Linked DNA regions of Oreochromis niloticus. The protein of the gene in region 2 interacts with the protein of the main gene of each other region in a pairwise test. Links are inferred from orthologs where the notes say so. Each region holds a gene or a part of one and is shown on either strand. Other genes may lie near its edges. The genes, in order: RNA binding protein fox-1 homolog 2, protein boule-like, tfg and serf2b.

Region 1 (7,210 bases), on a different chromosome or scaffold from region 2:
GTTCTGAATGATGAACAATGGTCTACAGCCAATCTTGTGTATTATTATACAAACTTTGGTTGTAAGATTCAGATAACTATTTAATAAAAGCTAAATATTTTATACAGGGAGTGCAGAATTATTAGGCAAATGAGTATTTTGTCCACATCATCCCCTTCATGCATGTTGTCTTACTCCAAGCTGTATAGGCTCGAAAGCCTACTACCAATTAAGCATATTAGGTGATGTGCATCTCTGTAATGAGAAGGGGTATGGTCTAATGACATCAACACCCTATATCAGGTGTGCATAATTATTAGGCAACTTCCTTTCCTTTGGCAAAATGGGTCAAAAGAAGGACTTGACAGGCTCAGAAAAGTCAAAAATAGTGAGATATCTTGCAGAGGCATGCAGCAGTCTTAAAATTGCAAAGCTTCTGAAGCGTGATCATCGAACAATCAAGCGTTTCATTCAAAATAGTCAACAGGGTCGCAAGAAGCGTGTGGAAAAACCAAGGGGCAAAATAACTGCCCATGAACTGAGAAAAGTCAAGCGTGCAGCTGCCAAGATGCCACTTGCCACCAGTTTGGCCATATTTCAGAGCTGCAACATCACTGGAGTGCCCAAAAGCACAAGGTGTGCAATACTCAGAGACATGGCCAAGGTAAGAAAGGCTGAAAGACGACCACCACTGAACAAGACACACAAGCTGAAACGTCAAGACTGGGCCAAGAAATATCTCAAGACTGATTTTTCTAAGGTTTTATGGACTGATGAAATGAGAGTGAGTCTTGATGGGCCAGATGGATGGGCCCGTGGCTGGATTGGTAAAGGGCAGAGAGCTCCAGTCCCACTCAGACGCCAGCAAGGTGGAGGTGGAGTACTGGTTTGGGCTGGTATCATCAAAGGTGAGCTTGTGGGGCCTTTTCGGGTTGAGGATGGCGTCAAGCTCAACTCCCAGTCCTACTGCCAGTTTCTGGAAGACACCTTCTTCAAGCAGTGGTACAGGAAGAAGTCTGCATCCTTCAAGAAAAACATGATTTTCATGCAGGACAATGCTCCATCACACGTGTCCAAGTACTCCACAGCGTGGCTGGCAAGAAAGGGTTTAAAAGAAGAAAAACTAATGACATGGCCTCCTTGTTCACCTGATCTGAACCCCATTGAGAACCTGTGGTCCATCATCAAATGTGAGATTTACAAGGAGGGAAAACAGTACACCTCTCTGAACAGTGTCTGGGAGGCTGTGGTTGCTGCTGCACGCAATGTTGATGGTGAACAGATCAAAACACTGACAGAATCCATGGATGGCAGGCTTTTGAGTGTCCTTGCAAAGAAAGGTGGCTATATTGGTCGCTGATTTGTTTTGGTTTTGTTTTTGAATGTCAGAAATGTATATTTGTGAATGTGGAGATGTTATATTGGTTTCACTGGTAAAAATAAATAATTGAAATGGGTATATATTTGTTTTTTGTTAAGTTGCCTAATAATTATGCACAGTAATAGTCACCTGCACACACAGATATCCCCCTAAAATAGCTAAAACTAAACACAAACTAAAAACTACTTCCGAAAACATTCAGCTTTGATATTAATGTGTTTTTTGGGTTAATTGAGAACATGGTTGTTGTTCAATAATAAAATTATTCCTCAAAAATACAACTTGCCTAATAATTCTGCACTCCCTGTATGAGAGTAAGAAAGAAAAGTATATCTTTGTGTCCACCTTTCTCTGTTAATGCCCTACCTGGCCCCCTGGCAAAAGCTTTGCTAGATCCGCCCCTGCACATTTACCAGCTGTCAGCTAAATAAAAAAAGGAGCTTGGTGTTTATTTCTCTCAGAAACAGTTCATAACTTCCCTTCAACTCATTCATGTCACCTAAAAAAAAGGTAAACCTGTTTCTCCATCACCAGTTCAGCTCTGATGATTCAGTAAGGTCATCTCCTGGTTTCGACCAGCCGCTTCTACAGCTGTGGCTCCAGCAAACATCAGCTGATACTAGAAATTAAAATCAAATGAATTCTAACAACAGCTGATCAAGCTTAAACGTGCTGCTGTTGTTTAGCGCGATAAACAAACAAGAGAGAAAAGCCGATCATTGATCAGTTTCATGACTGAAGTTTGAACAGGCGAGAGAATGACAGGGGAGGCTGTCATAAAGTTCAACATCAGTAACTTAGTGCGCACACAGCTGTATAGAAACTCCATCGTGCTAGCTACCACGCAGTACGAGTTATTATAACTGATTGTAAAAAGTCAGCACAACGAAAATAAACTACACCTAAACTCGGTTTATATCTGACCCAAATAGAGTGCAGGTCATAACTTCTTACCTGAAATTCAGTTCACCTCACGCTCCGACCGGCAGCCGCCTGCTTCTCCTGCCTTCGGTTTCCCTGATCCACGATCTACCACCGGTCGATCGGCGGTCGCCTCGCCGCCTCGTTCCCCGCATGTTCTTTCTGACACACACCGGTGGATAGCTGCCCTCGGTTGTAGCTCCGCGTCAGCGACTACCAAACAATTCAGTTATTTTTTCCACATCGACCAGCATCTGGACAATCCACCGCCTTTCACTGTTTGTACCGTTACTAAAAAAAAACCCTCATCGGCTCATAAAAACGAAAAATAAGTCCAGCTATGACCCTGAGTCAAAAAGACAGCCAGCTCGGGTTAGCTAGCTACCTGTCTAGCTCTTTGCAGGCACCGAAAACATCAGAGCTAATATGGGATGTCTTGGTAACACGAGCAGATATTTGAAGTTTACATCTGGCCAATCCACCACCTTTCACTGTTTATACCGTTACTAAAATGAATAAATAAATAAATCATCGGTCCATATAAACGAAAAATAAGTCCAGCTAAAACACATACTGTCGGCGAGCGACCGGGTGCTGACACGAGTTTCACCCGCCTCAATATAAGCCAAGCCTGGGTGCTTTTTCATGAAGGGTCGCTAGCGGTGCTAGCTAACTATGCTAGCGGCGCTAGCTAGCTAGCCGGCTATCAGCAACACATAAGAGAACTGCTGCTAAATAAACTACACCTAAACTCGGTTTATATCTGACCCAAATAGAGTGCAGGTCATAACTTCTTACCTGAAATTCAGTTCACCTCACGCTCCTGCCTTCGCTTTCCCTGATCCACGATTGACCTCCGCATTAGCAAACACCGGTCGATCGGCGGTCGCGGCATGTCCTTTCTGTCATACACCGGTGGATAGCTGCCCACTGTTGTAGCTCCGCATTATAGCACCACCAAACAACTCAGTTATTTTTTCCACATCCAGCTGTAACTCCGATTCTGTGCGAGCATTTGCGAGAGACCGGGGAGGTGAAACGACAGAGAGAGTCCCCTCGCTATCCATTTGCAGCCAAGTGCGGCAGCTAGCTAGGTAGCCGGCTAGCTGTCAGGCAGGACCGACGTCGTCAGAGCACTGTCGCTAAATATGGGATGTCTTGATAAAACAAGCAGATATTTGAAGTTTACACACCTACATTCTCGCCTGAAAATATCTTAAAAGTTTATTTTGTGACCTAGAAACATGAATAAAAGACATATAAAACGAAGTGGTGGCCGCCATTGTTCACTCTGTAGAGGCGTGCTATGAATTGTGGGATATGGAGTTTTCAACACAAGGATAAATCTTTTCGGCTGTACTACTCCCGGTATACCACTAGAGAGAGCCAAGACACCACAAATGAAGTCTGTTTATTTGGCGCCAAAAGATGAATTGGCCTAAATTTGTACTAAAATATTAATATTTAAAAAACTATAAAAGTCATAAACACCAAAAGTCACAACATAATAGTCCAGCTCCAGCCGCACAAAATGATCTAAGATATGTAATCCTAATGTCAAAACTGTTTGGCAGAGGAGCGCGGGAAAATTTTCACTAAAATATTAATATTTAAAAAACTATAAAATTCATAAACACCAAAAGTCATAGCACACCATTCCAGATCCGGCCACACAAAATGAGGTAACATATATGAAGCTTGTCTCAAAACTGCGGGGCGTGATACGTGCCGAAATTTAGGCGGAAGATGGAGAATAATAATAATAAGAATAATAAATCCGACGAATAGTAATATGTGTGCCTCTTGGCATAGGCACACATAATAATAAATCCGACGAATAGTAATATGTGTGCCTCTTGTCATAGGCACACATAATAACTGAGGGCAGAGGAGGAGGGAGCTGTGAGGTGGTGGGATCAGGAGGGAAAAAAGGAGGAGAAGGAGACCGAGGAAAGGCAGACCTCAGACCAGCCCGCCTTACCTCACTCCCCCCTGTCCGCGAGCCCGGTGTTCACGGGCAAATCTGACCGCAGATCAGCGCACTCGCGCTCCCTCCACACTACGAGTTACACCAACTGGGACTGAGACCAGAGGAAATCGTGTTCGTCGGTAGCCAAGGTACGCACGCCAAGACTCATCCACAGCAGACCGAGGCGAGGGAACGGACAAGAAGGGAGAGAATTCAAGGGGAAAGCTGGTAGGAACCACAGAGGAGTTCACTGCAAAAGAAAAAACCCCACACGTTTAGGGGCGAGAGGAGAGGGTGACTGGCTGGCCCCGCAGAAGGAGTAGTATTACTCGAAGCTAATTTCCAACATTTTCTATTCTTGGCAGCGAGAGTGTGCTCTCCGAGCCACATTTATAAAGAGAGCTAGCGGAATGTAATGCTAGCAGGCTAGCCGATGTTAGCTAGCTAATTAGCTTGTCAGGCATCCGAGAGTCGGACGTGTGATCTTTATTAAAATAGGACACTGTCGTCGTTTTTCTTTTTTCAGGGGGGAAAAAGAGAGGGACAACTGTACTTAATGTCCTTTTTGCTTGATTCTGCCATGGTTTTAAAGGTTTGTCTCGCATAGCTAAGGCTAAGTTAGACAATAAACAGTGTAAGCTTGTGTATATTGATGAAAATCCGTTCAATATTATCCGTCTGGGAAAAGCCAAATCCATTGTGAATATCGAGCCGTTGACAAACCCAAAGGAGAAGGCAAAGGTAACAAAAGAAAAGAAAAAGCCAAAGAGACTTTTGACTGGTGACTGTCTCCCGTCCAATGTTAATGTCGACCGACGTTGCATCTATTATGCTACCCGTTAGTCGGGGAATAATGGACCGGGAAAGGGACATTGATACAGCAGCCGGACCCCATGCAAACGCGGCCGGGGGTCCAGCCGTGGTCCGAGGGATGAAGAGAGGCGATCCGGAGCCCGACGCTCAGACTGCCGCTGCCCTCACTGACTTGTCCGGGGCGGAGTGCAAAAGACCAAGGATAGACGGGACCGGGAGTGTTGTTGGTGACATTGGCCAGGTATGAATGCAGTGTAAACACAAAGGATATGTTTCTCACATCTGTGTCGTTTTGTTTCCATCTGTTACAAATGCTGCTCACTGAACTCAGTATCATCCGCCCTCCTTTTCCTTCTTCGCTGTTTTTTCTGTTTGTTTCTAAGCATCAGCTAGGAAGGATGATGATGTTTTTGACAGCCCCCCCCCCCACGCATTTCCCCCTCTAGATAATCATGCATGGGTGCAACAGCAAATCCTTTAATTAAAACAAGCCAAACGCAGGAAAAGTGTCTCAGTAGTAAACGCGTTGCTTGCTGTGATTATCGAGGCTTGCTGTTTGTTCCTCTTGGTGCTGCTCTGACCAAACCAGACAAAGGTAATATGATCCAGGCTCCATTGCTATGACAGTCCCAGACACCACGGCAAAGATCAGAGCCATTCATCATGCCTGCCTCACAGAAGGTAAACCAATGCTTTGTCACATGTTGCGAGGGATTTTGTATTTTTATACTTATGTGGATGAAATTACTTTGAAATGTGCGGATAATTTGTCAGTGAGTCCTGACACACACATGGAGGGCATTTAATGGCTCCGTGTCCCCCCCCCCAGATTGTCGCTAGGTGTTAAAAGAGAGAGGCAGACAAGGATTGGGGGAGGGGTCACCACAGAGAAAGACAAAGAACAGAGCCTTTTTTTGAGCTTGAAGGAGCGAAGGGTCTCTGGGGGGCCTCCTTAACACGGGTCTTCCCTTGCTTTTATGACTCAAATGCTGAGACAGCAAAGCATCAGCGACCGTTCCTGCCTCCCCGGACCAACCTGTGTACGTTACAGTAAACTAAAGAACTGCCGAGGCGAAGGGTGCACCTCTCACTTGTTCTGCCTGGATCTCTTGCTATTTATTTCTCTCTTGCAAACACACAGCACGCATCATTCCTACACCTACACACACATGCTTTGAAGTGCCCCCGTAATGCAATAGTACAAGAGAAAAATTTCAGCTGATGTCTGTTTTTTTTTTTTTTTTTTTTTTTTTTAAAGACCAGGAAAACTGCTCTAACGGTAGTCGAAGGGCAGGCGGAAACGACTTGAGGTCGTCTGCAGGTAATTGAATCCCGGGGAAACTGGTAAAATGCTTCAATGGGCTGTGCAGCTGACCCACTGCAAAGACAGAAAGGTCCAAGTGTGATGCTGTGATGCTCAGTGAGCCTCACAGAGGATGGATGTTGATGATGGCAAAAGGTTATAGCCCGCTGGCAAAGATGATGTGACAATGAGCAGGGCGGCATGTTGTGGATTCTCGCTGCCCATCGGTTGTATTGATTGTTGGGGTCGGGGTGGGGTCGTGTAAATGGAATAAAAGGGAGGATGAGGCTACAGCAAGAGAAAGAGAGTGCACCGAAGGTTGCACGTGGAGGATAAAGAGAGGAAAGCAAGGATCGTGGTTTAATTGGGCATAGTGTGCGAGTGGATTAGAGGAGAGGGAAAGAGGTGTGACTGGGGACTGATAGATGGATAGATGTGGGGATTTTGGGGTGGGGGTGTGGAGGTGGGATAAAGGAGACGGAGGGCAGAGTGAAAATCTGAGCCGTTAGTTTGCATCCATCAGGCGGCATGATAAAGTATGCGAGGGAAGTGATGGATGGCAGGCATGACACCATCAGTTGTGGAAGAGATAAGCATGAGGACAGGGCCTGAATGATGATAATCAGCCCAGTGACACTTTATGCAAAGGATAAATAAATCGGAAAATGACATTGAGGGGATGTATCGAGTAGCTCTCGGGCGCTGCATGGCTGCTCGCGATGGAGATGATGACTCCAGTGGATGTCCCTTGAACTAAATGCACCCAGCAATTACTGTAGGGCTCCCGCAGTGAGCTCGAGCTGGTATACTTCTGACCTTCCAGGCTGACTGTAAATCAGGACTG
Region 2 (7,089 bases):
TTTAAAACCTTTGTAGCTTGATTTAATCTTTATGCTGAGCTAAGCTAACAGAGTCCTGGACTCCTACAGTAGCTTCATATTTCCTCCACTATAGCCTATGTTTAGGGTCCTTTGCATAGTCTGAGGTTTTATTGGCAGGAATTTTGAAACTTGAAAAAGAGTAGGATAACCTTAAACAAACGTTAGATCAAGGTTTTGAATCAAATAGAACTGGGTCCACAAAAGTAGAGATTAGCTTCTTCAGTTCTAAGGGTCAGTGGTGGAGAGTCTCCCACTAGGTTTAAATCTGGGACTCTCCACCACTGACCCTTAGAACTGAAGAAGCTTCTCGGATGAGAGATGAAACGTCTTCAAGCAACTCAAGAAGTCCAGACGCTTTTCTTTCCAAGCTCCTTAGTTCACATTGGATACATTTAGGGAATTTAGACATACTGAAGACCAAAACTCCATACAATATACTATAAACAATGACACCCCCCCCCCCCCAAAAAAAATCTCTTCTACTCAGTGGTATAAACTTACCCCAAATTAGGGGGTCATCTGGCCCAGTGGTCCAAAGTTGAAAGGAGCATTACCCATTCATTTACCCACACAGCCTTTTCTAAACACTGGTCTAAATAAATTGGATATGAAGCCTGGATGCTAAGCAGGCATCATATGATCTTTGTTTCATTCTGGCAAACAAAATTTGACAAAAAACACAGTCGATAGCAAAGCTCCTCTGATAACCTAAACACACTGGCACGCAAGGACACACACACACACATATTCACACATGTCTCAGTGGATCATATTTGCCAGCAAATCCATATGATTGTAACATAAACACAGTGATGCACAAAGAGGGAGGTCTGGGCCTTGTAGGCACCTGAGTGTTTGCAGACATGAAGGTGCGCGTTTGTGTGTTTTCTTTCGCCCAATCCCCTCGTGTGTTAGAAACCCCCTGCTCTGCTACAAAGTGATTTCATCCCGCTCCGTTCAAGCTGCTTTTGTCGAGCCATCGCATCTTACTCACCACCTCCCCACCCCGAGCACATTTAGAAGAACAGATGAATAAATGGACGAGGGGGGAAAAAAACAGTAGACTGAAACCACAGTGGAACTCAGCGATGGTCAGCCAGGCCCACCACGCCTCAGCAAATGTTTGTCCAAACCTGTTATTTCTGGCATTGTACTGTCTCAAAGAGATCATTTTATTCTCTGAGAGGAATGCAGCAGCTATAAATAGTCTGGAGATGAAGGAGGGGAAATCAGAGATTTGTAGAGTAATTACAGAGTCAGAGTTGAACCCTTCTGTTACGGCTCATTTTTCATCAACCTCTGTCTCCACGACTGTCTGAGTGACTGACCGACTGAGGTAAAAACGGGCCCTTTTTTCAATGGGAATGTGAGTCTGACCTGATATTTGACCTCCATTTTATTTCTTCCATGCCTGTTATTTACTCTCTACCTCTTGTTTGTCACAAAACCAAGACTGGATAGATTTGAATCTCTGTGAGGCACAACTGATTTTATTTTGGAACACTTACCTCAGTATTTTTACTCTGAAATAAACAAACAGAAAATCTGCTTTTTGTCATTTTCATATCAATACTTTTGATGAGAAATAAGCTACCTCCAAACCTTATATTTCAGATTAAAACCAGCCCTCTTCCTCTGCATTTGGCAAAGCCTGCACCCCTCCAGCGCGAGGCTCATTTTGGGCCAAATTACTCACTCCGATGTAAGACAGATGACACAACGAATGACTTTAACCTAAATATTGCATTTGAATGTGAAGTCAGCAGTTTGTGTCTGATTCAGACTCATCTGAGGTCATTTTTGTTTGATTTAAGTCAATTGAAGGTTGAAATGATCGCAAAACATATATACATTACATAGACATACACATGGCATGGAAATAACTCATGTTCAGTCCAGCAGTGCAATATAACATCCCAATCTAACTGATTATATATATATATTTGTCATGTACATATATATATGTATTTATGGGTGTATGTATGAGTAGATATATATATATATATATATATATATATATGTATATTATTCAAGTCCTTTTTTGGAACCATGTGATGGAGAATTGTCCTAATTTGTCTGTCTGATGACAATAAAAAGTCTTGAATCTTGAAACGCAGTGATAGAAAGACTTCTGACACACAACATTCCCTAGCAATGACGGGGTGGGGGGAAAAATGATGTATAACATGGAAAATTAATATTAAGAGGAAATGAAAGTAGTCAATACAAAGCGACAAACTAAAACAGTCACAGAATAAAACCTTCACTCTCCTTTGTTTCCAGAGAAAACTCAAACAGCCAGGCGAGTTGCCCTGACAGCACTTGTGTCTTAAATGATCTTTGTGGAGTATAAAAGGACTTTTAGCTCGTAAATTGCTGTAATTATCAAACATGCCCTTCTCATTTTGCACAGTCAGACCTCGTTGGCAAATTCACCCCGGCAATTAAGGAAAGCTGGAAATGAATGACAAGTAATGGTGTGGCCCACATTACTCAGATGAGGGCAAGCAATCCAGAGACAGAAGGGTGTAATGGTGGGAAATGTGCAACACAGACTGAGAAGAATTACACACTGAGTGGATTATAAACTGTGTTTGCACATTTATTCATAATAATATGGATGTGTTTGAGTGAAAATCCTGTTCCTGCTTGTGTGTTTTTCATTCACTATTAGTATTACTAGGTATGGAATTGGTTGCCACCACCCCCACCCTCCAGCTCTTGAAGACTTTGTTCAGTGTTCAGTGTCACTTTGTTGTGGTCCTAGGGAGGAGCACAAAAAGGTGGTGGTGGTGGTGGGGGGGCACGAGATGCAAATGATGGCGTTTCAGAACACTTTGCAGCCAATCATAGACAAATTATGGCTCCGTGAGGATTTTGCTCAACATCTGAAGTGGCTCCTGAAGGATCAGGAGAGGAAAGAAATGTGGAAATGTGGAAAAGTCACTCTATTCTACTTTTTCCTGCAGCTCTTAACGGCGAGGGACATAATATTAAAACACATTAAAACAAAACAAAGAATTGACTTTTAAATGGAAATATAAGTTGTGTGTGTTTAATCAGCATTAAGGGATTCAGTCAGTGATGAGATATTTGTGAACTTAAAGCGCCTTGAGGCGACTGTTGTTGTGATTTGGCGCTATATAAATAAAACTGAATTGAATTGAATTGAACTTTGTAGACAGATTTCTTTGACAATATTTCACATTTAACAAAAATTTCATTTCTATAATTCAAACAGAAAGAAAAGAGAAGGACATGCTTGAATCCGATACGTCCTGGGTCTCTGTGACTACCTGTGCCTTTGTTAGCAACAGAGAAATGGCGCCTCTATGTGGCCACTTTTTAGTACTGTACTTTTTAATACAACAAATGTGGACTGAAGTAGGACAGAAAAATTGTTCCATGCCCATAATTTTTTTTTTTTTAATCAGGAAAGGACTCAGCAGTTAAGCACATTTTAGGTTCAAAATTAGCACATTTCCCCACCCAAAACCCAACAGGACATTGTGGCTATTCTTGCTCTATTAAAGGGAAGAAAGAAGCCAGGGAAGGATTTCTTTTATTATTATAAAATGATATTGTCTGGAATTATTAAGACGTGAAAAAAAATTAAAACGTGTATTAACATCTCGTTTTTATTAAATCATATGACTTAGGGAAAAATATACATAAATACCCAATTTAACTTTGAGAAAACATGTTATTATTGTACTTAAAATAAGAGCATACATTAGAGGTGGGCGTATCATTCCAAATATCGCAGTGCGGATATTGGTACTAGATTTGACTGATAGTAGCGCAACAGGATGTGGGTTTCTAAGTTCAGTATGTAGCCCACTGAATGCTGTTAATGCTTTTTTTCTGAAAATACACGAAAAGTTGATACCTTGAAATTTTGAGATAATATCCCAAAATGTTGACTTAAGACAAAAAAAATAAATAAAAAAAATCTGTGGTGGAAACACGCTTCCATACAGAGTTTAATGGGAGATTAAAAAAAACAACTTTTAGAGTAATTAATAAAAATGTTACGTCACCTTTACCTTTCCTTTGCTTTCCTAGATACACAAACCAACCGATGAGGTCATAGTTCGTGTGAGTGGTGAAGGCTAACCTAACGGTCGGAGGTGAGCAATGAAGCCGTGTAACAACCATTAGCCAAATCGTGAATAGGCCACCGTTAATCAGAGCAGTAACGTGCATTTATCTTTTTAGCTTCAGAATAATATGGCTAAGGAAGCGGCGAGCCAAAAGGTGAGTGCATTGCCAAGTTTGCCCTTGCCGCTTTGAGCGCAATTATTTTAGCTAACAGCTAACGGAGCTAAGGTAAGTAAGTAATGCTGGGTTATGTTATGTGATATAAACTTTATCAGAGTTAGTTTTCGATACTTTTGAGCTACTTTATGTCCAATAAATTGTTGGTTATAATCTTAGTTTACGTGAAAAATACATTAAGAAAAATGCTAATTAACTTGGAATTAACTTGTGCAATATATATGCTAGCTAAATAGGTTAATTCAAAGTAGCTAAGACGTTAAATACACTTTAATGGGACACGCTGTTCTACTTTACGCGAATTAAACTATTTTTACCTGAGAAATATTAATGCTCGTTGAAGATAATTTTGGAAAGTTTGTGTTGTTTGAGTAACTTTTTTTCTTTTCAATTTTCACACAATCCTTTAAACTATAGGGAAACACTCATTAAGTTAATTGCTAATCATTTTTCGCTCTGTTGTATCTTCCTGACAATTTTCCCCCATATTTTCTGGACATTTGAAGTGAATCTTTAAAGGAATTGAATTTTTACCCAGCCCACAGGCTGACTGCACACTTCTCATCTTTTCTTTTACTTTTCTTTTTTTTTTGCTTTTTCCCTGTTGTAGGCATAAACGTTTGTGGTTGTAGTTTCTTATGTATTCAGGTTGAAGGTACATCTACTTTGGTTTAAGAACCTGCTGTTTAATTATTTATTTTGTTAGTTTTGATTAAGTGTTAAGTTTCAGAGCAGAATGTCCTCATGAACATGGCTACATTCATTTTACGAGTCATGTTGTGTAAATAGAAGTGGGATTTATAATCTCTGACCACTTTAAGTAAAGCTAGGTACCTACTCCTTAAGACACACATGTAATCAGCCAATCACAGAGCAAGTAAGTGACTCAAAGTCACATGACCAAGTAATCCTGCTGCTGCACCTCTTGGTCTCAGTATGTCAGGAACTGCTAATCTTCTGGGATTTTCCCACAAAACCATGTTTAGGATTTAGAGAGAATGGTCTGGAAAATATAAATTTTCTGTGAGGGGAAATCTCTGAGTGAAAATGCCTTTTTGAGGTGAGGGGTCATAGGAGAATGAGCAGACTGCTTTGAGCCGAGAGAAGGCAACAGCAACTCAAATAACCACTCGTTACAAGCAAAGTATACAGAAGAGCAACTCTGAAGGAGCACCACTTTCAGCCTTAAAGCAGATGAGGTTCAGAAGCAGAAGACCACACGCGGTGACACTCTTGTCTGCTGAGAGCAGGAAGCTGAGGTTGCAGTGTGCAGGGGCTCAGGAAAACTGGGAAACCTTTGCTGGGCTGAGGACTGTCCCAATGTCTGCTGCAGCAGACGGTAGAGTCAGAATTTTGGTGTAAACAATGTGAAAGCACGGATCTAGCCTGCTGTGTATCAACATGATCATCAGGGATATTTTCTCTTGACACTTCAGGTCCCTTAGGACCAGGTGAGCATTGTTTAAACACCACAGCCTGCCTGACCCAATACTATAATGATCTCCACACTCACCAGATCTCAATCTAAAAGAGCATCTTTGGGATGTTGTGGAATGAGAGAATCACGTCATGGATGTGTGTGATGCTGTCATGTCAATATGGAACATAGTCTCTGAGGAGTGTTTCCAGGACTTTGTTGGATCTGTGCCATGAATGCAAAAAGGGCCCAACCCAGTATTGGCAAGGTGTACCTAATAAACTGTCCAGTAAGTGTAGTACTTAAGTTTTAGTACCCTTAATCTTGACTACTTTCTGGGAAAGAAATTAAAAAATCAGGCCAACCTCATTACGTGTAGAGTTTCTTACTGGCCCAGAGTAAGACCAGTACACGCTGTCTTTGGGCCTGAGTGAACAGAGATATGTATTTTCCACTTTACATTTGCACAATAATGTACTCATAAATACAGAAATTTTGGTAGGACAAATAAAATAATTGCTCTTGGCTTGAAAGCTGGACATGAAACATTCCAACAACTTGTTCACACAAAATTATATTTGGTGTTTGTTTCCCAGAGCGGGGGCAGTTCCTCCCCAAGTGATGTGCTACTTCCAGATGATTATGCTGACAGCCTGACAGACCACAGCACAACCTTTGGCAACGTGATCCCCAACAGGATTTTTGTCGGGGCACTTGACTACAGGGTGAGGGCTGCCGAAATAATGTAGAACAAATGATTCAGACCATGATTTAAAATCTCTTTTGCAATGATGAACCAAACGAATGTGTTTCAAGGTTAATGAGCGTGACCTGCGACACATTTTTTCTCAACACGGCACAGTGAAAGAGGTGAAGATTGTCTTAGATCATTCAGGAGTGTCGAGGGGGTGAGTTCATTGTCTTTTTCCTCTCATACACAGAGTCCGACTGAATGATAAAGTATGCACAGCTGATTTTCTCAGCTTTGAATTTAAGCGTTATAAGCGTTATTTACACATTTACTGTCACAGTAAAACACGCTCTGTCTTTTGTCTTTCAACAGATATGGGTTTGTTACATTTGAAACTCAAGAAGATGCTCTGAAAATCCTCAACAATGTAAGTAGTTTAGTGTCTTGCATTGGAATATTTCATGCATATAATAATGCAAGCAATCTGACTGGAATATGTTGTCTATATGTTATGTTGTTGTCTGTACGTCTGTTTATGTGCTTTTACAGACTAATGGAGTCACGTTCAAAGACAAGAAGCTCAGTGTTGGTCCGGCTTTTCGAAAGCATCAACCTTCAAGTCAAAGTAGGTTGACGGTCCAGTAGTGCAGGTGTTTGAACATGTAGATTAATTGTTATCAGC
Region 3 (7,499 bases), on a different chromosome or scaffold from region 2:
TATCCTTTAAAATTTGTATTTTTTTTGGAAGAGATCAGAGGGAGTTTGAAGAGAAGAATGAGTAAAAAAAAAATCACACTGCCATTCACTTAACACCTCCATGAGATCTGGTTTTATAGGCTTAACATATCTGACCCACTTGACCCTCATGGTTTAATAAACATATATCAGGATGCCTTAAGTGTATTCATCAAGAACTGTTGCCTGAAAATCAATATCGATATTAAGTATGCTTTGTAGCACTGAATTTCGATCTAATAGTGTGATTTAAAAACAATAAAACAAACAGACAAACAAAAACACAGAGGCAGGGTACACTCTAGACAGGTTTCCAGTCTGTAAATATTTGTTTACATTTATATTAAACAATTTATATTTAGATAATCAATCATTATATGCTTAAAATGAATTAAATGAACCTATACTAATCAAGTACATTTCATTTGACCAATTTCCATTTAATTTGACGTTTTCAATTGTACTTATGTAACAAAATTACCTAAAAACTTTACATGTAATCAAATTTCTTAAAGTCAGCATCTTTTTCGTTTTTGCAGAAAAACATTAAAAATTGGCATTTTAGCCCTGTAGAGTGTGACAACCATGCTTAATCAACTTAATTAACTTAATCAATACTACCAAATAAACAGTATACGATAACAGAACTATTGATTGTGATGTGAAAAGAAGATGCTGATGCTGCCGAGGGATGTCGGTCGTCAGTGCGCATGCTTAAAGCTGTCGTTGATGTTCACTCAGCACATCTCCTTTGGATTGAAATTTAAACAAGGAGCTCGGCCAAACGTTGAAAAAGTCAGGTGTAAACATCATTGGTAAGCCAAGTTCACTCTGCTACTATCGTTACTGGCGATAACAAAGAAATAAATAAAAATGCTAGACTAACGTACAAAACGTATCTGTCCAAAGTAAACGCTAAACTAGGTTAGCCAGTAGCAGCTAATGCTTCAAATCCCAGCACGACTAGTCTGCGCGAAAACGGCCGTTTTCTGTTTAAATCGCTGTTTGCATCATGTTGTGACAGCTGGGAAACGGTGACGTTTAATATTACTATGGCTGAATCTGTATCCTCTATTATCTCTCTCCTCACGGTGTCCTTGCATTTACCAGGCTGATTCTTCGCACACTGGGACATTAGCAGGTTAAATCTGTCATATTGCTTGGTTGACCAGTTAGTTCCAGCTTTCGAATGTAAGAAACTGTCCTTTTGCAGCTTTAAATATTAAATGTCTTTTAATACCCTGATTGTCTTCTGGATTTTAAATATTCCAATGAAATTTGATGAAATCACAATTTTTTTTAGCAGTGTATGCTCTTTGGTTGCAGTCATTTGCATGTTACATTATTTGTCTTGTGCATTAACAGGTTTCTCCAAACATGAAAAACAAACTAAGGATGGCCCCACAGTACCAGATGAAGCAAGTATCTATGTTTGGCATTTGTCAATAAATATGAACATTGTCTCTGAGTTGCAGTCTGATGGTCTGTTTTTCTGTTTTGCAGCGCTTCTCTGAAGTCAGAGATACGGAAGTTAAATGTGGTCCACTTTCTCATCTGGCTGCTGGTGGCCGCGCAAGTGACCGTCAGCCACTTCAACATTGTGTCACAGGACACTGTGTCCATGCCGTACCAGTGGGAGTACCCCTACTTGCTCAGCATCTTCCCTCTGCTCTTCAGCAGCCTGTCCCTCCCAAAGAACAACATCAGCTACCTGGTCCTGTCAATGATCAGTGCAGGGCTCTTCTCTTTTGCACCTCTTATATATGGTGGCATGGAGATGTTTCCTGTAGCAAAGCAGCTCTTCCGTCAAGGAAAAGCCTTCCGCTTCATTTTTGGCTGCTCTGCAGTGACTGCTGCGTACATCGTTATAGTGGTTGCTGCTCAAGTGCATGGCTGGCAGTTGTACTACATGAAAAAACTGCTGGATTCATGGTTTGATGCTACTCAAGAGAAGAAGAACAAATAATGGAGGTTTTTTTTTTTAATCTGTGAATGGACAAAACTCTTGTTTTTCATTTTCTTTTCTTTTATACGTGAGTTCTGTCTCCTTAGTCTTCATGATTATGTAATATGATTCATCCTGCATCCCTGATTTTAATTTAAAGCTAATGATTGTTCATTTCAATAAACTTATTTATTTAAAGCAGCAGATTGATTTCTTGCACACACAGTTAGGTTGGGATTGGGATCCAAAGCACCAGCGATAAAAATGGAGTCCAGTCACTGTGAATTCAGCCCTTCTCCAATCAAAGAAAAAAGAATAATGTTGGTGTCTCTCTCAAAAAGTCTTCCTATGATTTAAAGAAAATGTGAAGTTCATACTTACAGTATTGAAGCAATTATTCATACACACACACACTTACAAACTGTTAAACTATATGCTTTGCCATGTGTTTATTTGTTCAGTATGTTAAGTCTACCTCTTATGATATTTGTTTGGTTTTTGTAATGGGCGCATTCACAGTATCTGCATGCACTGCTGTTTTTAAGATATTCTCTTGCAGCACGAGAACACCAGCTTCGCTTTACTGCAGACTCTGTGCGTGCTTAGCTATCCAGTGTTCAAAAGATAAATAAATAAACGCTATTCAACATGATGGCTGAAATTCTGTGAACGCTCTCAACGCACTTTGTTCCAGTCGGTCTGCGGCTGCGCACACTGAATGCCACGTACTGGTTGACGTTGACAGTCTGGAGGACACTTCCTGATGCTGCTGCCCGGGTCTAGCTAGGCTAGCTAATAGATTAGATTTTCACGGTTTGGGGAAACCCGTGAAATACATCGTGGTCAAGTCGTCTGGTTCAGGTATAAACATTACTTCGAGTTATGTTATAATTTAACTACAAAGCAGTTTCTATGCTATTACGTACTGTTGTGGTGCTAGCTAGCTACGCAGGGAGCTAACGCTACGCTAGCTCGTCCAAACAGGTGTCGAGAGTGATACAGAGGGAGTTGTTTAACAAAAGATTCGTCAATTAACTGATCTGATCGAGTCTATGTAAGGTGAAGTAGGGAAATGATCAGTTTATACCTTCTTACGTAGCTCTATTATAGGTAGAGCTGTTATAAGTTACACAGGAAACAGCTTGTTGACGACTCATTGTCATAAAGTAAAAGCTAAGTGTTATTATTCCAGATTTTTCAGATATACATCAGGAAATTAAACAGATTATTCATTTTTTTAAGTGTATGTAACGTATACAGTAAACACTGCAATGGCAGTGGTGAAACGGCCTAACAAGCGTTAGCAGTCAGTTCTGTTTGTTGATGGGCCACTGATAAATGACTGCGACTTTTGCTATTATATAAAAGTTTTACTTTCGCTTCTGTGATATTTTAAGATTTGTTTCCAGAGCTCTAGAAATTAACTTGTTAGACTCCGTTTCGGTTTAATTTTTTTTCCCAGTCGTAATCATTGAATGTTACTGTACGCTAAACGTTAGCTACCACCCAATCCCTAGCATCCAGCCAATTACTCATCTGGCCCGGACAGAAAGAGTATATTGCTGAGCTTACAACATCAGGAGGTAACGTCAGAGTTAATCCAACTCGTGACTGTACACGAACGATGAGGTTTACGTTAACTTAACACAGTATGTTAACCCCACCTTGTTTGATGAGTGCAGGCCTGTTATTACATACCCCCCTCCCCCCAAAGAAATATCCGTTTTACCGGTATGATCTGAGTAAAATGGGTTTTAATTTGCGATTACTTTGTAATCATTTATATGATTCGCCAAATGGCTTTGAAAGCGTTTTTCTCCTATCAGAAGAGATGATATTTTAGGTCAAAGTCTACAAGGAGGTCTGTTATTCTATAGCCTGTGCCACCTCACATGAAGATGTTTGACCCTTAGACTCTGGAGTGACATGGTTTCGTTGCTGTGTTTGATTAAATAATTTAAGTCAAGGGAGGAGCGCTCCTGTTCTGTGTGTAATCCCATACAGGCTTCAGTCAACATTATGAGAGCTTTGTGACAGTGAAGACAAGCTGTTAATTTCGGCATATTAATGTAATCATAGGACTGTTCTCACAGCAGCTGACCTGTTGACCTACTTATTCTGACCTAGCATTTTCCACTGTTTTAAAAGGGGCTTAATTTAATAATTATATATTCTGTTCTGTAAGATAGACATACATGTCGCTTTGAATGCCATGCACACTTATTGCTGTTCTTTTAACTGTCATTTTGCTGACTAGTGGTGCCCTGGCACTGCAGTATGCATACCTCCTAAGTAGTAATAATAATTATTTTATCTGAATTAGCCTTTGATAATCACTAAAAACTGTAGAAGAAATCGTAATTGCAAATCAAACTTGAGTAATTATACAACCCTACTTGGTACTAAGGAGCTGGAAGGTTAAAGAGTGGCCAGTGTTCAGTGTGACTGTGTGTCACCCCCTGTTGGGTAATGCCTAGAAGAGTTCAGGGCTGCACTGAAATTGTGAACACCTCTCTTCTACCTTTGTCAAGTGCTGGGAGCAGAAGAGGTCAGACGGCACCATGAACGGCCAGCTGGACCTGAGCGGGAAGCTGATCATCAAAGCCCAGTTGGGTGACGACATCCGACGCATTCCCATCCATAATGAAGACATTACCTATGATGAGCTGGTGCTCATGATGCAGCGTGTCTTCAGGGGAAAGCTGCAGAGTAACGACGAGGTCACTATCAAATACAAGGATGAAGGTGAGTCAGGACACAGAAAAGGCCTGTGAGGGTCCGGTTGTCCTCTGGTGACAAGTGTACTTCATGATGGTAATCTCAGCATATTTTCTTTGAAAGTGGCAATTTGCTGTACAGTTAATCATCTTTTGTCCCCATTTCCTGTTTACAGATGATGACCTCATTACCATTTTTGACAGCTCTGACCTCTCATTTGCCATCCAGTGTAGTAGAATACTCAAACTGACTTTGTTTGGTAAGAAATTAACACATTTCCTCTTACGGACTGTATGCATGTTTTTGCCTTGATGAATTCAAGGCTGTAGATCAGGGGTCCCCAATCTCAGTCCACGAGGGCCGGTGTCCCTGCAGGTTTTAGATCTCACCCTGGGTCAACACACCTGAATCACATGATTAGCTCATTACCAGGCCTCTGGAGAACTTCAAGACATGTTGAGAAGGTAATTTATCCATTTAAATCAGCTGTGATGGATCAAGGACACATCTAAAACCTGCAGGGACACCGGCCCTCGTGGACTGAGATTGGGGACCCCTGCTGTAGATGTTTAGTCTCTTATTTCAGCTGTTACAGCAGCCAGTCACTGGAGGGCAGTCTAGCTTAATTTTCCACAGAGCAAACATCGTTACTGTCCAAATGAAAATGATCTACACTCCCTTCTGACTAATTTGTTTTGGATTCGCTGTTTCTTAGCACCAATTTAACAAACAAACACTATGACAGGTAGTAGATGTGTGTATTTTGTACCAGTTATTCTGGACATTCAGGACAGAAAATAGCTTGGAGCAGGTTCGAACCAGAGCCTCTGCAAAGACCTTAGAGCTTATGGGTCGCCACCTCAACCTCTTGGGCTAAACCATTGCACCGCCCAGATAATTCCACAGTCATTCAATAGCTCAGCAGGTGTAACTCGCTGAATAATCAGTTACCTGACCAGCCAATATGCCTCACCCTAACATGTTATTCGAGCCTTGTTGCTGTCGGTAGTAAAAACATCGTGATGAAATTTCTGGGATTTCATAGGACTTAGTATGTTAGTTTTCCTAAAGTATGATTAAGATAAATGAAATGGTAAAAAAGTGGACTTTGATCAAAGAGGTGTACTCAACATTGAGATTAATGGGCTTAGGCAAGTTTGTTTTGTTTGTGACTGGGCTACATCCATCCATCCTTTTTTCAGTGCGGGGTTACAAGTAGGTAACAGGCAGGGTTCACCCTGGACATGTTGCCAGCCTATCACAGGGCCCTTGGCTATTTCGCTATAATATATCACTATAGTGAATATGCTGAACACATAACCTTAAGCAGGTTATGTTCAGAGTTCTAAATTTCAAATCAGCTGTAAGGATCATAATTTTCCTAAGTATTTTTTTCCCAAGAATCAAGCTCAGAGTATGATTTGGCTGTTATTCCTCTCTGAAGCAGAAGGATTGGAGTTTTAGGGTTAAGAAAGCCTGGCTGTGTCAACCATGCTTTTGCTGTACACGTTTTAGCCTCATTGTTTACAGGTTTGTGGTTAATAGGAGGCTTAACATTTAAATTATACATTTTATTTGTAATATTTAATATTTTACAATCATAATAGTCGATCTATATTCTCCTATTGCCACTTGCTTTGGATAGTGACTGAAAGAATGAGACTGAAGATAGAAGTGTTCAAAATGGGTTCCCTCCCTTAGTGGTGGGGTGAGGAGCTGTCTCTTTTTAGGATGCCTCTAAGTGAGGTGTTTCCAGCATGCCCAACTGGTAGAAGATCCTAGGACATGCTGAAGAGATGATGGCCCTTGCTTTGCTTGAGAACACCTCAGTGCCTCCTTGGAGAACTGGATAGAGAGGTCTTAGACCGTTAACCCGGATTAGTAGTAGAAAACCGATGAATGCATGGAAAAAATGTTTTTAAAGCCATAATGAAACACTACATATAAAAATGCATTATTTTTAAATAGGCCATCAGTTAATTATTCTTATGTCTAAGGAAAAAGGTACACTTTTGCTTACACTGAAGTGTATTGATAATCCTTGCTGACTGAAATATATATGATCAGATATACCACATTTTCAGATTTATTTTTCTTTCAGTCACAGCAAAGCTGTATATTAATGCTAGGTGGTAAGAGAAGAAATATTCTGAGCCTGTGAAATTTTAAGTTGATTCTTTCACTAATCAAACTTTCTGGGAGGCCATTTTTACAGTACAGGTGTTTTGTTATTCTGTTAACACAACAGCTGAGACTGTGTCCAGTGTTTGGCTTGTGTTTTAGAGGATTGTCTTTCCTGGCTGTAACTAAATAGTGTTGGAGTTCTGTCAGTTTAGAAACAGATAGCATACCAATACCATTTTTGGGCTCTGGAGATTGGACTGTAACAACCAGCAAATATTTGAAGCTTGGAGCACCTGATTGTGCTTCAGTGTCTAACTGCCTGCTCGCTAACTGAATTGTAGACAGGAAGGCATGTCTCATCTCAGTGGACTGTATAGCAGTACTGTCTATGTTTTTGCGATAAGTACTTTTTTTGTGAAAAAGTTGCTCAAGGGCAATGAAAAGTCAGTAAGTTTTCAGTAGTGCTGTGAACTGAAGTGTTTTAAAAATCCAATGAAAATATTGGAATAGTTATGATTGGGTACCACCTTAAGCATGCTTTAAGTCACAGTCCAACTTTAGGCTGTTTAGTAGGTAGAACATTACCTACAGCTACGAAGAAGTGTGACTCGTAACCATAGCAAACCAGCATCAAATCTGTCATTAAAAAACACATTCTCTACTGTCTAAACTGTATTAACAACATGATGTTGTT
Region 4 (7,677 bases), on a different chromosome or scaffold from region 2:
CATCTGTCACCTGTTGGTCTAAAAAAACCCATCTGTTGTACAACCATTTAATATTGTTTCTTAAAGCTTAAATCCAAGAGCCAGTATTGCTTTTCAATTAGATTATCGCTCATCACATAGTCAAATCTGCACAAAAATTTGTTATATGCACAGATTGAACTTCTGAATTAAAAGAGATTTCTGCCACAGCAAATTTCTATGTAATGACAGGACAAGGACTCTTACTGCTAATGTTAAATTTTCTGGTTAAATATAGTATGAAATTAATGGAAAACAGGCTTCCCCTCCCCCTATCATCTCCCTTTGATTAAATTGGAGACACGGCATGAGGAGCACCAGTTTCACAAGGACGGCATTAACAATTAGAGGCTTTGTAAAGCAGAAGCAGTCAACACTGTCAAAATTACCAGGTGGTGATAATTGCACTCAGAGACAGAAATAGTTTGCTTTAAGCTCGATGCTGTCACTGCAAGCAGCTGTGGGGAAAACAAGTCATAGGCAGACATCCTGGGCTGCCCTGCGTCGCCAGAAGCCCAATAAACTGACCACAGTGTTTGACATGCTGTCCTACAGGCTGTTAAAGTCTTCACACTCCAGCACGCAAGTGGCATGATGAAGCCATGGCTGTTTACCCACTAGATCCTCTGCTTGCACTCGCTAAAAAACTATCTCCTAAAATTAAATGACCCCATCTAGGGCTTTGTCGAGTCATATATGAATGATTTTGGTAAAAGATGATTGCATTTCTGGTGCATAAACAAGAAAGTTAAGACTATTCAAACCCCTTCATGAAGGGACTGAAGCCGAATAGCATGATAATGTAAGTACGATTCCAAGGAGAAATAGATGCCTGGTAAAGGTCTCTTTACTCTCTTTGAATATGTTAATTAAACGAATTCAAATATATGAGCATGAACATTCCTAAATATAGCATGTGGATCACACTTATTACTTCAAGACACATGGGTAGCTTTTGAAATAAAAAACTGGCTTTTTTAATGGTTCCATTTTTACTTTACCGACTTTAACAACCAAATTTAAATTACAATAAATGGAAGCAACAAGTGGCAGTGATGTTATTAAATTTGTGCTAAGAATCAGATGAAGCCTAACAAATCTGATGCTGGAGAAATGAAGCAGATCAAATGATAAATCTATTCAAGTTCTGTTCTGTTCATGATCTGCAGTGAATGAATCATTATGATTTTGGAAAGAACTAAATAAACTGCACCATTATTGCATGTTTGGACAATACTTGGTTTAAGATAAAATACTTGCACTACAAGTGATATTCACACCAGCCTCAGCTGTATTTTCTTTAATATCACAGAACATTAACACGTAAAAGGAAATAACTAAAGCTACCAGCATAAGATGAAGAAACAACTGTTACGGCTTTATAATGTGCTGTGCTGAAGAGCTGTAATACCACTATGTACCACAAGATGAGGCAGTGATTGAAAGTTACTTTTAGCTAGTTAAGTAATTAAGAGTGTGTAATTGAGTCGCTTCAAAAAAAACAAACGCATGAGAATTTTAAAATCTGCACACACCAGAAAGAAGCTCAAAAATTAACTGTTAGCAAAATTGCAGTAGCTTTCAACGCAAGCATGGTAATTCTCTCTTTTAGCGTTGGCTTGGTCAACATGGCTAAAGTTTCTTTCTTAGAGACAATAAAGTTTTATTACAACATTTATTCACACTGGGCTTTCTTCTTCAAACTGAAATAACTTTCAGTTATTTGGAAAAAGAAATTACATCCAAAAATGTTCCATTAAAGCAACTACTCCCTAATATGTTTCTTTAAATAGTTGTTTTTTTTTTATGTAACTCCATCTGAGAATCCTTGTGCTGCCAACACTCAGCTGCTGGCTGACTTTGAGCTTGGAGTTATTTGCCAGGTTAAGCTCAAATAAAATATGCTGCAGCAACAGCCTACAGTAAAAATCAATACAAAAACAAGCATTCTCTTTGCTGCTAAAGGTGCATAAATTGCACTCCAGCCAGTGATGTATGACTACCTGTCACAAGGACATTTCCAAGGGACTGTTCATTATTTTTGTGGTAAACATATAATTTTGACCTGTAGGATTTAATGAGAAAAAAAGGGTATTTGATCACTTAGAGTAAGTTTTTAGCCCGGCGTGAGGAAATAACATGCAGAGAGAACTGCAGACCAGAACAAACTTACAGAATATAATTACAGTCTAAGAAGACCTTATTCTTCACCCAAATAGACTGTTGGCTAGACAATTGCAGCAGCAGTTTGATAGTTCATTGTATTCAAACAGTAATTATGTCCCTAAAATACAGTATTTGCCTTTGAGAAAGAAACCCAACCCTGTCTTCATTTTCCTCCTCCAACTCATTTCCACCACTATAAACACAATTTGGGATTTCTATTTTAAAAAAATGCACACACACTATAGCTGACACTAGACTCAGTTTCAGTGTGTTCTTCAGTTTGTTTCATATTTTTATATCAACATAAAATAAGAAGTAAATATATAAGGGTATTAGGCAATGCAAATTATGTCTTTGTCTATTCATAGCGGTGGTGTCTGTGTACAAGTTCAGTTTTGGGCAGACATGACTCAGTCATTTAGTGTATTTAGCAACCAGACAGTGAATAAAGTCAGAATATAAACACTGCTAAGAAACATCACATGGTTTCCCAAATGGTTTTCCACTTAAACAAGCCCACGTTTTGCTATTCGCCTTAACAGAAAAATGTCACATTTTAGATGATTTCAGGGAAGTTACTGTAGCTTTTTGTTTCAAGAGTTTTACCTGATCTTATTAAATGTTTTTGTATTATTATTTGATTGAAGCATTTTAGATATGGAATAATTAGCTTTGATATTTTTATAGTTTAAATGCTTTCTATAAAGTATGTAAATCGCCGAATGTCTTGTTTGTGTGACCTCTTTCCAAATTTACCTTAGTATAGTCTGCCACCTACTGGCATCTTTGCAGTCAGCTTTTAAGGAGTCACTCACCATCTCAGAAAACTGTAACCGATCTCTCATTCTACTAAATCAATATTTGTAAGCATCCTTTGCCAGATTTGGACTGCACCTTGTGATGTTTCATTACACAATACCATTAAGGAGCATCTCACTAGTTTCACATTCAGTGGGTAGGCTTGCATTTTGAAAGGAAAGTTTATAGTTTTACTTTGCCAAATTAAAAGAGTCACATAACAGGAAATAAAAATGAGTACGAGGTAGTAAAATTATTCAACATGCGGTCACCTGGAATCAAATCACATCTGATGCTAGAGAAATGAACCACAACAAATGTTAAACCTACCTCCTGTATGTATTAGATGGCTTCTTCAAGCTTGAAAATTATGGTGCCAGTCATATTCTTAAAACAAATACTACTGTAGGCAAATCCAGGGTGCGAAGAGTTGAAATGCAAGTTTTATAATATGTCTTCTGCCTCCTGCTGTTGATCAAAAGACCAATTAGGCCAATTAGGAATCATTAGGAGTCACTAGGATCATTATTTCATTGTGTGAACAGTCAAAAGCACCCGATATTAACAAATGTTTTGGCCAAAAAGAAAAAAAGGAAATCTAGCTTAAGACAGTCATACATGTTTGGACAAAAGCATTAAGCCAAATCTTTCCATATACCTCTGAATATTGGTGTTTTTGGTCACAGCCATGCAGTCTTCCTTTACAAATATTTGAGAAATTAAAGATGTAAAGTGTATAGAATGACACCATTGCACCAAGTTAGGTCATGAATTTTCAACTCTCTCAGATAATCCACAATCAGCTCTAAGTGATATTACTGTAAAGTGGAAGGGCTGATTCAAGACCCTTGATCTGGCAGAATGGTCATTCAATATTTGTAAGCACCCTGTGCTAAATCTGGAGTGGTGTGCAAGAATCTTTGTAATGTTTAGGTTCTTATTCATCATGTAATACCACCAGAGCGGCAGCTGACTGACTAAACCATTGATACAAGGCAGACCCATGCTTTCATATTGTTTATGCTAAATTCTGATTACTGTCATCTCTTGGCATCCTGGGACCTTCTCTATATTTCTCCAGCAGCTCAAAGCAAACATCACACCTGGAGTTTCATTCCTTCTTGGAATGAAGCTGTACTGCACACAAATTCTTAACTCTCCTCTTAACTTAGCTGTAACAGCTCTTTCCCATAACCTAATGGTTTGACTGATTAACTTTATCCCTCTGTATATTATTATTTTTTCTGGCTTGTATACTGAACTTCCTATTTTCCTAATAAAATATCAATAACTGAGGGGTGTCTCAAGACTTTTGCTGTGCTGTATTTACTGCATATACTTTGTACTGTATATATTCCTTTAACAGTTTTTCCACCATTTAAATTTTAACACACCGATGTTGCAGTCCTTTGCTGCCTCTTTCCCAAACCTTTTTGAAACACGTTGGCAGCGTCATATTCACAAAGAAATAAAAAAGCGTCATAATTTGAACATTTTATATACGGTTCATTGATGGTCTTTGTATTTTCTTTTTAACATATATTATATGCAAAGTCATTGCAAAATGCTAAAACGTAAAAAAATAATAATCATTTAAAAAAGTCACCCCTTTGCAACTTCACCGTCGTGGCATGTTGACGACCAGCCTTGACGCATGCGCAGTCCCGTGTGGCTCGACGGAATGTTCTGGTTATCTTGCGGAAGTCTCGCGCATATTTGGCTCGCGACCAAACTGAAAAACAGCAACGGGAGCGTCGAGAAGGGAGTCAGCGGCCCTTTGGCTGAGCTCGTCTGGATTTTTGGGGAAAGAAGAGTCGATCACTAAAATGACTAGTGGGTACCGACATTTATTACGCTCTGAGGGATTCATGTATTTGGTCGGATGCTTGTTTTCCGTGTTTGTTATTTTTGACCAATGGTTGTCGTTGATCGACTTGGGTTCCGTCTATTTAATGTAATATACATTATCCTATTTGACAGATTCAATAGAGGATTGTCGTTTTGGGCAATAACTTAAGGACGCGATTAATTTGGCCGTTTTAGTTGGTTTATTTAAGGGCATAGACTTATGCTAACATGTGTTACATAACGTCCCGTTGTACTTGTGTTGGCTGTGGGTCGCTTGTTGTCCGGGCGTTACTCTGAGCCCTGGCCTGTATGTGTGGACGCAATACAGAAACAAAATATGGGTGTTTTGGTCTAAACGCAGCTTCCGTGTTTTTACTAGTAATATTTTTTTTTTTCAATCCTGCACATGAACTTGGAAAAACCGTGGTAGCGGCGGATTCTTTTGCTGCCCTCTGTGCTGTTGTTCTGGCTAAGAAAGTGCTCCGGAGCGCCTCTCTGCCACGTCGGCTGCTTTTGAGCGCTGCACCATCTTCATTTTTCATCGTGCAGATCATAGCATGCTCTTTTTCTGTTAACTATTCGACTTGTAGACACACAGATTTCCTTTTTAATAATAATAATAAAAATTCAGCTTGTGTTTTATTTATTTTTTGCTGGAAGCAACTTATGTCAAGTGTCTCATTATAAGGCGCAGCTTTTTCGTCTGATTTGTTGTTGTTGTTTTTTTTTACCCTTTTTATTGACATGACAGGAGGAAACCAGCGTGAGCTTGCACGCCAGAAAAATGCTAAAAAGCATACTGAACAGACTAAAGGCAAGAGAAATGAGGATGGGCTATCTGCAGCTGCCCGGAAACAGAGGTAAGCCTGCAGTCTGCAAGAGATTAAAGAAGTGTAGGATGCACACTAACTAAACAAACCAAAGCATAGTTTTCTAAACAGCACAAGGTGACGGAAGTGGTGCACATGTTAAAGGTAAAATGTACTAACAATTAGGAGAATTCATTAGTTTGTTTTTTAAGTATTTCATTTTATAGTTGTATTATAATTGTCCAATTAAAATGGGTACATTATTATATATTTACATAAATACGAAAATATAAATGTATATATTACATATTTTATACATCATTATAATATATATTGCAGCCTTCATTAATTCCACACCTAATTATATACTTATTATTAGGGCTGTTCGATATAACGATATATATCGGATGACGATATAAAAACGTCTATCGTTTCATTTTACGCTATCGTTTGTTTCGTGGTGTCGCAAAATAAACTGTTTACGGCAATATTTTTTCATTATTTTGATGGTCACTGTAGTGGCTATATTAATTTCCTAAAGTTCTCTCTTTCTCTTATATTTAATATAACCACACTACAGACGGACAAGCGCTTGTTTTTATGCGTTGTCGTTAGCAACAACGATGGTAAAACCACCTGGTGTCCGCTTGTTTATTTTCCACATAAACCTTTCACAATAAAGCTCAAGACCCTTTTGAGACTTTTCAAAATAAACTGAATCACGTGAAAGATGCAGAGTATTTACGGATGAGAAGCAAAAAAAGAGCCGTCAGGTGCTAAAAAATAAACCTTAGACTCAAACGATAGAACAGGCTTTTCCCTGCAGCACGCTGTGTAATAAATACTCACAAAGAAAACGGTGGCCGTTACAATCTATGTCTAAAAATGTATCGTTTCATGCATCAGTTAAAACACTCGACTCCAGGTACGCAACGCCCAGCTGGAAACACTTCACACAAGTCGAGCTGCCCGACATTCACAGAATTTACAGAATATGTTACATTTTTGTGATTTATATCGTTATCGGATGATAGATGTCTTAATATCGGGATGTGAGATTTTGGTCATATCGCACAGCCCTACTTATTATTGTACTATCATTATACTGTTCTTTATTACTTACTATATGTTTCCATTATATACCTATTTTTATGTTTTATTCAATTGATTATAAAGGCTATAATTCTATTAAGTTTTTTAATAATTCTTAGTTTAAAAAAAATAAGGGAAAACCCCCAAACAATATTGCAATATTCCTAAAATTGTCAATATAAGTGAAACATCTCATTATGAAACAAGGCTTATTATACAGTTTACTGAGCAAGTCTTTTCAGCACTATATCCACATTATGACCAGTTAACTGCTCATTGATAAGGCTTTTATTGCATAGGGGCGTTTGCTTCTTTTTTAGGTAATTAAAAAAAAAAAAAATCGTACAGCTTGTTGATGTGATTCTAGTACACCATATTCAGGGGTCTCTGGCTCTTTCCCCGGAACTTTTGTACATGTAAGCACCGGTTCTTGTATAGTAAAGGCAATGGATCAGTGTTGTCTTACCTAACAGAAGTTATTTATCCTATATTTCTGAACCTTTATTAATAATAATAAAAAACAAAGACACAAAACCATCTTATGCTTGAGTAAATTAAACCCCACCAAAAAATCCCCAAAACAAACAAACAACAACAACAACAAAAAATGTGTGTTGCAGTACTTTAGGCAAGGAATTTGTCTTTCAAACAGTTAGACATATATTACACATAATGTGATTGTTTTTGTGTGTGTGTGTGTGTGTGTGTGTGTGTGTGTGTGTGTGTGTGTGTGTGTGTGTGTGTGTGTGTGTGTGTGTGTGTGTGTGCGCGCGCGCGCGCACGCGCACGTGCACATTTCAGTCTCCTAATAAAGCTTGTCCTCTCTTGAAATGTCTCCCTTTTCTCCTCCAGGGATGCAGAGATAATGCAACAGAAGCAAAAAAAGGCAAATGAAGCAGGGAAAGGAAAGACCAAGTGAAGAATGAAGTCTTGAGACGAATTCAGC

Evidence for each region.
Region 1: the proteins of protein boule-like (region 2) and RNA binding protein fox-1 homolog 2 interact in binary tests that used the Homo sapiens proteins (3 or more experiments, as listed by UniProt). The two-hybrid records come from large-scale screens. The link is inferred for Oreochromis niloticus from reciprocal best matches to the Homo sapiens genes BOLL and RBFOX2.
Region 3: the proteins of protein boule-like (region 2) and tfg interact in binary tests that used the Homo sapiens proteins (3 or more experiments, as listed by UniProt). The two-hybrid records come from large-scale screens. The link is inferred for Oreochromis niloticus from reciprocal best matches to the Homo sapiens genes BOLL and TFG.
Region 4: the proteins of protein boule-like (region 2) and serf2b interact in a two-hybrid assay, tested with the Homo sapiens proteins (2 studies listed by BioGRID and IntAct). The two-hybrid records come from large-scale screens. The link is inferred for Oreochromis niloticus from reciprocal best matches to the Homo sapiens genes BOLL and SERF2.

Annotation. Positions count from the first base shown.
Region 1 is NC_031969.2:9,183,278-9,190,487, reverse strand, and holds the start of RNA binding protein fox-1 homolog 2, read left to right. Parts: upstream 1-4,203; 5' UTR 4,204-5,049; coding exon 5,050-5,304; intron 5,305-7,210. UniProt on the Homo sapiens protein: RNA-binding protein that regulates alternative splicing events by binding to 5'-UGCAUGU-3' elements. Prevents binding of U2AF2 to the 3'-splice site.
Region 2 is NC_031986.2:13,037,041-13,044,129, reverse strand, and holds the start of protein boule-like, read left to right. Parts: upstream 1-4,068; 5' UTR 4,069-4,151; intron 4,152-4,239; 5' UTR 4,240-4,251; coding exon 4,252-4,278; intron 4,279-6,312; coding exon 6,313-6,441; intron 6,442-6,532; coding exon 6,533-6,624; intron 6,625-6,779; coding exon 6,780-6,834; intron 6,835-6,956; coding exon 6,957-7,032; intron 7,033-7,089. UniProt on the Homo sapiens protein: Probable RNA-binding protein, which may be required during spermatogenesis. May act by binding to the 3'-UTR of mRNAs and regulating their translation.
Region 3 is NC_031987.2:22,289,054-22,296,552, forward strand, and holds the start of tfg (protein TFG), read left to right. Parts: upstream 1-4,494; 5' UTR 4,495-4,524; coding exon 4,525-4,708; intron 4,709-4,856; coding exon 4,857-4,940; intron 4,941-7,499. Other genes in the region: jagn1a (protein jagunal homolog 1-A), read left to right, coding at 1,396-1,436, 1,522-1,984. UniProt on the Homo sapiens protein: Plays a role in the normal dynamic function of the endoplasmic reticulum (ER) and its associated microtubules. Required for secretory cargo traffic from the endoplasmic reticulum to the Golgi apparatus.
Region 4 is NC_031965.2:28,316,879-28,324,555, reverse strand, and holds the start of serf2b (small EDRK-rich factor 2), read left to right. Parts: upstream 1-4,666; 5' UTR 4,667-4,808; coding exon 4,809-4,815; intron 4,816-5,574; coding exon of another isoform or gene 5,575-5,581; coding exon 5,582-5,690; intron 5,691-7,583; coding exon 7,584-7,650; 3' UTR 7,651-7,677. UniProt on the Homo sapiens protein: Positive regulator of amyloid protein aggregation and proteotoxicity. Induces conformational changes in amyloid proteins, such as HTT, driving them into compact formations preceding the formation of aggregates.